2 linked regions of the Drosophila melanogaster genome follow. The protein of the gene in region 2 purifies or fractionates together with the protein of the main gene of each other region. This does not show direct contact. Each region holds a gene or a part of one and is shown on either strand. Other genes may lie near its edges. The genes, in order: orb2 and Pabp2.

Region 1 (5,191 bases), on a different chromosome or scaffold from region 2:
CATTTGCCATCGCAGCACTAGAGCCGCACGTAATTGCGTTTAAAAATAAATAAATCGTACGGGGAAAAGGCGAAAAAAAAAGCAGCAGTGGCAGCAACAACAAAGCGACCAAAGCAGCAGCAATAGCTATTTGACATTAATTTTTATTTTGCTATTTTTAAAACCCTTAATACATTTTTACCAGTGACCGTTTGGACGATCTTCGCCAGCTCATCAGAAAATCATTTCAAAGAAAATTTATTTTCGCAGAGCATTTTACCATTTAACGATGAAAGGAAAATTTATAAGAAAATATAAGTTACAAATTGGGTGAATAGTTTCACTCCAATATGCTGACAAAACATTGTATATTAAAATACTAATATATTCAACTAAATAAGCATATGCTTAAAAAACTGGGATAAATGTATATATCCCATTGAACTTTAAATTCTAAATTGGCTATTAGAAACTGACGGTTTGCACAGAGCGCATTGGTAATTGCGTTTCGATGTGACTGAGCTATTTTTATGGCCAACAAGAAATTCCCTATCTATTCACGTTCTTTAATCGGGCTAACAACGAAAAGCCAAAGATAAAATGGGTCACAAAATGTGCAATGCGTGTTGTGGGAAAAAAGTGAAAGAAAAAAACAATGGAACCGAACAGCAATCAATCATATTATTGATAAAAGCAAACTTGGCAAGCGACGGGCCAAAAATAACAAATAAACAAGTGCTATTCTAAACTTTTGCCTTTCGTATTTTGTGCATGAGTAATAAAAGTGTGTAGATATGGCCTGATAATGGGGTATAGCGAGTTCTAAATTGGTAGCGCTAGTCAAGTGAAAACCCGCCTGGTGGGGGGATTACAATTGATCGCTTTTCCAATTACAAAAGCCACCCCCGGAGGCAAACGATTTTCAGAGCCCGCTGTTCCCGATGTCGGTCAAATATGCTACCCGTTTTGCATATAATACGCGCAGCATATAGAAACACTGAGGGAAATAGGTGCCACACATTGCTATGTTTAGTTTCTCAAAATATGCAATTTAAATCAAAATTAAACTATTATAATGTGGTCAAAGTATTATTATAAATAATTCAATAAAATATTTTAATCATAAATAAAGTATTGTTCCAAAATACTCGAAAAAAAACTGTTTTTGAACAAAATATTGCCTACTTAAAGGAGCATTTACATATGATATGTATTGTTTTCTTCTTAAGCTTCTTACATTTTAAGTCCAAAAATAAGATATGCAAAGTATCTGAAAATTTCGTTGAGTGCACTAAACTATCCAATTTCTAAAGCTTTTCGTCTGTCCCTGGACACGCACTTCATTTTGGGCTGAGCGACCGGAAAACGTCTATTGTTCTGAAAAAGGGGGGAGATGGGCAGACAGAGGCTCTTAATTAGTTAAATGCGGAGAGACAACGAAATCGCTGTGCCAATGAAATGGCTCAGTCGGGCATGAAAAACAGACCGCAGGTGCCCCACACTTTTCCAGTTTTTGAAACTGGGCTGGGGATGTAGACAAAAGGAAAATAAAACTGGCATAATCAATACACAATTTTGCCCTACAAACGAGACGAGAGCGACCCCCAAAAAATAGCCGAAGAAGGAACGACGACGACGTACAGCAATAACAACAACAAAGACAGTAACGCCCCCATGGAGCGCACACACACACACACACCACGAAGCACTCACATACACACAGGCGTATCACACGCACACTTCAAAAGTAAACAAGTGTAATGTGCCGCCAAAAGCACAGACTGCTTGGCTCAGCTTCAAAAAGAGCGGCGGCTTAGGATTGGGGCATTATTTTAGGGGTACTTTCCCAAGTTTCACAGCTTCTTCTACAAAATATACTTGGCAGTAGTTAAGGAGTTATTTTCTAGATCAGTTTTTCTTTTTTTTTACATCTTTGGTTTTCTGTATTTTTTAGTTGGTATTGAATTTAACATTTCTTTATTGTATCGTTTTCAAAATTTATTTAGTTTTTCCATTTAGGGTGTGCAGCAGCGAATAGTAAATCTTAACTCGTATTTGTTGATAATGCTTTAAAGTGATACGAAGAAACCCATTAAAAAACTACCCCTGAATGTGGCCAAGTGTTAATTTATAAAACCAGTTATTCTACCTGCCACCCCAAAAAATTCGAAATTTTGTTTACCAACTCGAGAGCTCAGAAACCGAGAAAAGTGGAAGAGCCGCTCATCTTCAACTGAAATGCAATTGTATCTTTGTATCTCTATCTGTAGCTATGAGTGTGCAAACAAATTTGGTTGAAAGGCTCTTGGCAAATGAAGTTTGTTTTTGTTTGTCATGCTGCTGCTGCTGTTTTTTATTCTCCCCTTTTTGGTTTTGGTCCCACACCCACCCCTCTGGAAATATTATGCTTTGTGTGCACTTCTATTATCACGTCTGCAATTAGAGCCAAAGTAACTGGGCCAAGTTGCAGCTTTCAGCCAGCTTTTCTCGTGCTTGCTTCACGGGGTTGGAGATTTTTTAGGGGTTTATTGCGGCGTTTGCTTTGCTCCACCGATTCGTTGCCGTATTTGCCAGTTGCCCCAGTTCCAATTGGTTACGTACACACTCTCTCACACACACACACTCGCACGCACACTCACTTAATATACACACGCGCTGACGGTAGATAATGCCAGCCCTGGATAAAAACTGGGGCAAATAAGTCCGAATTTTAAATAGGATTTTTGACAGGTGCACTGAATAGCGGATAACTAACCTTTTGCTGCGTTATTCAATTTATTTTTTTTTGTGTTATGTCGAATGCCGAGAGCGCACGAAGATGGAAAACACGACGAAAACTTTCAGGTGCAAGTTTTTCCTGCGCCAGTGTGCGTGTTACATTTCCGGGGGTGCACACTCACACAAACGCACAGCCTGTGACGTAGGAAAATTCCTTTGCACTCGATTCTCTCTTTCCGTACAACGGTAACTATTTTTAACACAGCACTAATAAGCGATTTACACTGGTAATTTTTGGTTATAAAACGATTTTAACTATTTACACTTTTGACTAATTTACGCTATTTAGTTGCATTTAATTTTCAAATTTAAGAAGAGCGCCCTGACGCGTTGTTTTCTTTCCTGATTTTCCCGAGCTGCGGTCCCTTCCGCTCGTCAGCAACGACTGTGATGCCAAAAGTTTTCACTGCTGCCCGCTTTTCCACGAAGCTGCCACTCGCCCGAAGACGCACGACGAAAAATCAATCATTCTCGCTTGTTTTGCTTTCGTGCGATGCACTGTAGGCTTAATGGTACCTTTTTGTGGCCAAAATTAATAACTTTAAATCGGAGAGATATTTTGTTTATGTTATTTGCATTGGGTGACACTAGCCCATATCTTTTATAGTACCAAAAATTCTGGTCGTGGCACCGCCCCTTATATTAAATTAACTCGTTTTTTTATTGAGATTTCTCTATTTTCAGTTTAAATCTCAAGTTAAACATAAGTTTTTGTTTCAGCTAATATACCTAAAAGCGCTATTTACAACACTCAATTACAGAATGGAGTTTTGGCCACAAAAAGGTACCATTCAGCCTATAGTGCGTTGTTTGGAACCCCTTCTGCCATAACAAACCATCCAACGAGCCAATCGATTTATCGATAACTTTACATGTCACTCGTAATTAGCAAGGAAAATAAATAATGGCCCCAATGTTGTAATAATTAAGCTAAGCACAGCAATTATGTGTAATTCAGCCCTATAGAAAATTATATAAAGCGCTATGTTGTCTGGCAACGCCACAGCTGTTTTCATAGCGCAGAAACAACAACAAAGACTGGTCAAAAAGAGCACACACACAAGTGAATTACATAAATCTGCATTACTTACAATAACAAAACAGCTCCAACGATCCAAATGGATATTTGTTTATATCCGCGTTCTTTTGGCAGCAGCACAAACGCACACAACCACGCACATTCAACGACACACGCGCTGCGAATTTGTTATTGTCTTATTGTGTTCTCCTCTTTCTGTTGCGTTTCGCGTTTGGCCAAATCTTTCAAATAATTGCACAAAAACACTGACGAACAACATGCGAAACCACAAAATATACGTGTACGCTGTGTCCTTCTCGCTAATTAAATATTTTACAAAAATATGTTCATGTTTTTGTTTTTTCCCGTGTGTGATATTTTCTACAAATTTTTCTATCGAGAGAACGAAAGCTAATAAGACAAGGAAACGGACGAGACTCAGAATTTCATCGAAATTCGTCGCCTGCTACACGGCGAAGCTTATTATTTCAGAATAGAAGTATTGTTTAAATATTTACCTAATGGCAACAATGGAAACTATTAACAAAAAAATTTAATCTTTCACTGATATGCCCTTATGCCCTTATTACTACAGCGATATACCGCAAGCAAAGTTATCGATATACCACAATACCACAAACAGCTGACACGTTAGAGTTGGGCAACTTCGCTGTTTATTAAGCGGGCTTTTTAAAATCTCTAAAATCATCTTTAATAGAAGGTTGTACATTTTGTCCGTATGTTCTTCTTTATTCTTACTCATACTTCTAAAAGCTTACTCTCAATGGCTGTGATTGGGTAAATCCCAAATTCTTCTTGTGGGAGTGTTGTCGCTCTTCTCTAAACATTGGCAAAAAAATCTCAAATAAATATTACACTTAGAAAATACTACCATTAAAGATATTTATATATAAAAACACCAAAATTATTGTATTTTACTTTTTATTTTCTTGATTAAATCGCCCATTGTTATTTTTAGCTACGATGGCACATACTTGCTTCAACATAGGCTTTAGACTTTAGAATCTGCGATAGCACTTTACGGTGTGTACTTTTTTGCAGTGCACCTTTAACAAACAAGCCTCGACCGGTTCTTGATAAGATTCTCAGATTTTCAAGTCCGAGTTGTCTGACCGCTCATCGCAGTTTTAATTGGTATTCCCACAATGGCGGATGCATTGCGCTTTGTGGCCTGGAGCTGCTGCCTCCAACTGCTGTTCCTGCTCCTTGGCGTTCAGGGGTATGAAGTACCCAAGGCTAAGATCGATGTTTTCTATCCCAAGGGATTCGAGGTCTCAATTCCCGATGAGGAGGGCATCACCCTGTTCGCCTTCCATGGCAAACTAAATGAGGAGATGGAGGGCCTGGAGGCTGGCACCTGGGCACGGGACATTGTCAAAGCGAAAAACGGACGCT
Region 2 (5,374 bases):
GTAAAAGAAGCTGAGAAAACATCTGCGGCACAGGTAGGAGGGATCGTGCAGCTGTCGCCGGGACTGGTTCACGATGAAGCTATAGCTGCGAATGCCGCACATATAGCAAGTCCTGCGATTAAACGTACTGAAGGCGTGAGGATAGGGATACAGGCTGCGATCTGGCCGTTTACTAAGTGGCGTTAGCACCTCTACCTGGGAGATCACAAACAGGTGTTCGCAATTGCCGTGGTGCAGGTAGTGTAGCGGTGATCCGGGGCTGACAGTGAGATCGATGAATCTTTTGCCCTCCATACTCTCCACCTTAAGCGTTTCTCCGTTCACTCCGTTCGCTCTGGCAGCCCACTGCAAGACGGTCTTGGAATAGTCGGGATTGTCCGGATTGCGCTGGTCGTTGTAGAATGTGTCGTTGATGAAGAAGTAACCGGGATTTGTGTCAATGGATGGCAACGGTGCATCTGGATCGTCGCTGATGTCGACAAACCGTTTTCCATTGCAAACGCAGCTGATCTTGTCCCGCAGCTCGGTCAGATAATTGCTGCCCAGACATACGAACTCCTCGGCGAAAACGGGAATCTCCACCTTAAACCCGCGATGGTAGGCCCGCGGTGGTCGATATAGACGCACGGTTAGCTCCAGTTCGCCGCAAGCATCGATGTGCAGGTTAGGCGAGTCTGTCGGCGTCGGATTCAGTTTGTGGCTGTACTGGGTGCGGCCAAAGGGACACTTACGGGACTTGTCCTTGTGCTGGCTTAGAGCAGTAAAAGTGGAGGGCACATGCTGGTTCTCCTGCGGCGGAGAAAAGGTTGGGCGGCATTTGTCTGCGGCGGGCTGGAAGACTGCAATCGAGCTGTCGTCTGGGGACTCGATCAAGTCCAGGGAACAGCTTTCAGACACGTCGACAAGTACTGGGTTTTTTTGGAGAAAGAAGGGCACTTCGTCTGCAGTACCGGATATTTTCTTTTGATAGTCGGCTAGAAAGTCTCGCAGGCTTAAAGCTGGATTCGTTGTAATATAGGTGGTATCCATGGTACTAAGAGGTATGTCTTGAAAGAGTGTTTTTTGTTCAGGATTAGACTCAGTTCTCCACACTCAATGATCTTCTCCAAACTTGTTAATAGCCTCCTTGTAAGTTATATTTAGCTTCAGAGATTCTGGCTTTGGCTCGGTCTGATCGTCCTCTTCAGTCTCAGCCGACTTCTCCACCTCCTGGTGCAAATTGTCCACGTAGACCCTTTCAAAAGATATCACCTTGGTGGATTTGTCCACGTACTGGTACCGCTGGCGACACACTGACTCAAAAAGCGGATCACTTGCCAGATTGTCTTTTTCCTTCTCAAAGAACACGTTGGTTCCCACGGAATGTTCGTAGCGTCCCCGATAAATGCTTCCATTTACCTCGGCCATGGGCGTGTCACTCTCGATTCCGATGATCTTAATGGCCGCGTCCTCGTGCTTCAGCTGGTGCGGATGAATGTGGTTCTTGAAATCCGCAAATACCAGGTACTCTGTGTCCTCGTACTCCGAATCGGAGGAATCGTTCATGTTCTCCTTTTATCGTTATGCATGGGCCCTGATTGATGGTTGAATGATGGCGTTATTTCGCAATATATGACTTCCTTAAACAATAATTTGTCTGATTCCCATTTACAAAACCTTGTTAGAAATGTGCGTGCACATTCCTCTTCTTTCCTTCCTATGGTAAATTTAAAATGGCATTGTGGTGTGAAAATACTATTATTTTTATCATCCAAAGAACTGCTTTCTTAAATACCGGCAGTTATCGATAGGTAAACCCACCACCAAACCATCGAAACTATCGAGGCGAAAACTGTCATCGGTAAAAACGAGGCGAACACAAATCTGTTTCAATTTGTGTCAAAAACTACGTACGTTTTCGTATAGTTGTAAATATTAGTAAATAATAAATAAATAAGCTTATAAATAAATATTTATGCTGACGTGGTGTGGCGCGAAACAAAGTCGAAAAGGGTTTAAAAACGTAGACTTTTGAACGAAAAACAGCAACCCAGCAACCCAGCGTACGTGTGTTTTCACAGGGCAGCCATTTTGGGCGAACTCAACGTCAGCAGAACGAGCTCGTAATTTGTACATTTATTAAACGTAAGTACAGTGTGTTTAATTAAATATCAGTGTAGTAGTGCGAACGCAGTGAAACCTAGACATTTCGGTGTCCGCAGCCTGAATTTATTTACTTATGGCTTGGATTTTCACTGCATTTGCATGATGAACTCTTCATTCGCGCTCTTAATGTTTTACGCTCTTTATGCTCACTTTCGCCGCCCTTTTCTCATTGACAGCTACCATACATACATAGTTACGACAACTGCCGTTTTGAGTACCACGCCGGAAGCTTTTGCGCCAACAAAACCGAGCTTTTGTAGCAGACGTAAACAAACCCAAATCCAAAGCAATGGCCGATGAAGATATCACATTGAACGAGGATCAGCTCCTGGAGTCATTGGAGGAGACGAACGGGGAGCAAGAGACTGAGATCGCCACAGAGGTCGAGGTGAGTTGGGGTTGCCCTTGTAGACAGTGCCCAAGAACCAGTTTCTTGGCCTCACGCCTTGCGAAAGCCCGCCGAATTCCCTGGAAAAGCTCGCAAAGCTTTGGGGGATATACAAAGCCGAAAACCGCAGCAATGGCTGCCATTTTCAGAGCGTCACTTCGCACCGCCACTCCATTCCATTGTCTGCTGTGGTTTCGGGCGTTTGCTCATCGCTCCAAATCAAATACCACTAAATTTCATATTTTCCTCGTCGCCAGGAGGAGGGCAGCATGCAAATCGACCCGGAACTGGAGGCCATAAAGGCTCGAGTCAAGGAGATGGAAGAGGAGGCCGAGAAGATAAAGCAGATGCAGTCGGAGGTGGACAAACAAATGGCCGGTGGGTCTACCACCGGCTTGGCCACAGTCCCGCTTTCTCTTGAGGAGAAGCAGGAAATCGACACGCGGTCCGTCTACGTGGGCAATGTGGACTACGGCGCATCGGCCGAGGAACTGGAGGCCCACTTCCACGGATGCGGCACAATCAACCGAGTAACCATACTCTGCAACAAGGCTGACGGGCACCCCAAGGGATTCGCATACATTGAGTTTGGTTCCAAGGAGTTTGTCGAGACGGCATTGGCCATGAACGAAACCCTCTTCCGAGGGCGTCAAATAAAGGTGAGTATCTGAAGCACTTTTTGCTAGTCCTGCTACCTATCAAACTCTCATGTACATATGTGGATAGAATGAGTCCTAGGGACTCCTACGTAGCGCAATTTTGAAAGCACATATTTAGAGTTGACTTTAGCTTAATCTATTGACTTTCAGGTAATGTCGAAGCGCACAAACCGCCCTGGACTCTCCACCACAAACCGTTTCGCACGCGGCAGCTTCCGGGGTCGAGGAGCCCGTGTCTCCCGGGCGTGCTGTCACTCCACCTTCCGAGGCGCCCGAAGAGCTATGTAAGTGGGCTCTGGAAAATCCCGATTGGATCGAGCTAATCCCGGTCTGTCTTTCGTTCCAGAAGGGGTTACCGTGGTCGCGCCAATTACTACGCTCCTTACTGATTATTGTTTTATTAAAATCCCTAGTAAGGTAAGTTGACAATTTCGAACTGAAAATAATTGATAGTTGAAATTTTATATGTGTGGGTTGCGTCCGATTTATGTCGGTTACATAAAGTAATCCGATATCTATCTCTTATATTTTGATACATTTTTTTTCTTAAAATTTATAAAACCAATGAGGACGTCTTTTTATGTTAAATTTAAGTTGTTAGAAAATGCCGTTTGTTTTTATGGAGCTAAATAGATTTAGTTTGCATAGCTGGTAGATCATTACGGGAAATAAAAACAATCAAATTTATGGTCAAAAACAGAATAATTTTCCGAACCCTTTATGGGAATACCTTGCTCTCATTCGCAGCGTGTTGGGTTTTATTATAATGCTTCCATTCGATTTACCGACTGTCGTCTTTAATCCATTAACTATTTGATTTCAGATTTTTTTACAATATAATTTCAAAAAACATTATTTTATTGCCAAACTTCTTTGCTAAATAAAAAAGAGAAAACAATCGCAACAGAAAACGCCAGAAAAAATATCGTTTCAATAAAAAATGCATCAGCAGCAAGAAAACAGGCGAAAAGAAGAGACCTCGAAAATAATAAAAAATCAACAAGGAAAACGAATATCTTGACTTGGCTATAATGTTTTTTGAAGCACCCAACACCAAACACCCCCTTTTCACACATTTTAATTTTCAATAAAACATCAAAAAAAAAAAAAAGATTATGAAAAACAAGAAGTTGATTTAAAAAACAAAAAAGTATATACAACAATAAGTATATATAAAAGAAGCGCAAAAGAAACCACAAACCCCAAATAAAAGAAGTTAAAAGATGGCAAAAGCAAATAAAGAAGGAAGAAAATATAAAAAAAAAATCAAAAGAACACAAGACTCTTGGGAAAGAAGTAAATCAACAAAATATATAAAAAGTGCGTGTGTAATTTATATATTTAAAAAAAAAATATATAGAGTAAAGAGAAGATAAGAAAAGAAGTTGAATTTACTAAAGCGAAAAAGATGAAGACAAATATAATCGAATTAAATAAGCTATCAATGCCTTTCCTTTGGGCGGGACAAGGTTTTTTGGGATTGAGGATGCGAGTAACAGCTTGATTCCTGCCACCACCAGCAGCCCTACCTCTCTTCCAGCCCTCAGAAATATTGTGAATAATAAAAAGAACATTCTTCATTCAAAAGCACTATTATATGGTTTTATTTCAATCGTAGGATTGCAGAGCCTGAGCGGATTTCAACTCGAAAATGCCGCGTTGCTTGCGTGTTGATTGATCTTTCGCTTCTAGAATTGATGTGGAACTGCGCTGAACTCCTAGTTCTTCTGGACGGCGGCCTGCACGAGGGGCAGGTTCTTGCCAAGGAAACACTTGAAGCCACGGAAGGCCCATTCGTTGGCGGGCGACTTCTGCTCGTTCTTGTCGGCGCACTTCTCGATGTCGGCCTTCAGCGCGGCCTTGTCCTCCTTGCCCTGGCCCAGTTGCGCCACCAGGTTCTCCACCTTGAAGCCCTTGGCCTCATCGAACAGGTCGAATTTGACGAAGATGCACTGGATGTAGTTGCGGGTGATGTCATCGTCGGGATAGTCGAAGGTCTTGTACTTGGCGATCAGGGCCTCGGTCACCTTGCTGCTGGCGGCACACTCCTTGCGCGCGCTCTGCAGATCCTCGGCGGTGCGCAGCTTGTAGTCGGAGGCAGAGGCCTGTCGAGGAGCAAACGGATGAATTTAGATTACTGGCTGCCATCGGCTTCTGTCTCCTTGCAACACTTACCAGACCC

Evidence for each region.
Region 1: the proteins of Pabp2 (region 2) and orb2 purify together in Drosophila melanogaster (affinity purification with western blotting; 2 studies listed by BioGRID, with this or other methods). This does not show direct contact.

Annotation. Positions count from the first base shown.
Region 1 is NT_037436.4:8,950,085-8,955,275, forward strand, and holds the start of orb2 (orb2), read right to left. Parts: upstream 3,151-5,191; 5' UTR 2,735-3,150; intron 1-2,734. Other genes in the region: GNBP3 (Gram-negative bacteria binding protein 3), read left to right, coding at 4,942-5,191. UniProt on the Drosophila melanogaster protein: RNA-binding protein involved in translational regulation and required for long-term memory. Required in mushroom body gamma neurons for long-term memory in male courtship. Binds to mRNA 3'-UTRs.
Region 2 is NT_033778.4:8,129,600-8,134,973, forward strand, and holds Pabp2 (Pabp2), read left to right. Parts: upstream 1-1,831; 5' UTR 1,832-2,124; intron 2,125-2,321; 5' UTR 2,322-2,434; coding exon 2,435-2,533; intron 2,534-2,790; coding exon 2,791-3,192; intron 3,193-3,342; coding exon 3,343-3,476; intron 3,477-3,541; coding exon 3,542-3,581; 3' UTR 3,582-3,609; exon of another isoform or gene 3,610-3,878; intron 3,879-4,015; 3' UTR 4,016-4,775; downstream 4,776-5,374. Other genes in the region: Pbp49 (PSEA-binding protein 49kD), read right to left, coding at 1-1,029; CG42516 (uncharacterized protein), read right to left, coding at 1,093-1,545; Obp44a (Odorant-binding protein 44a), read right to left, coding at 4,911-5,297, 5,368-5,374. UniProt on the Drosophila melanogaster protein: Involved in the 3'-end formation of mRNA precursors (pre-mRNA) by the addition of a poly(A) tail of 200-250 nt to the upstream cleavage product.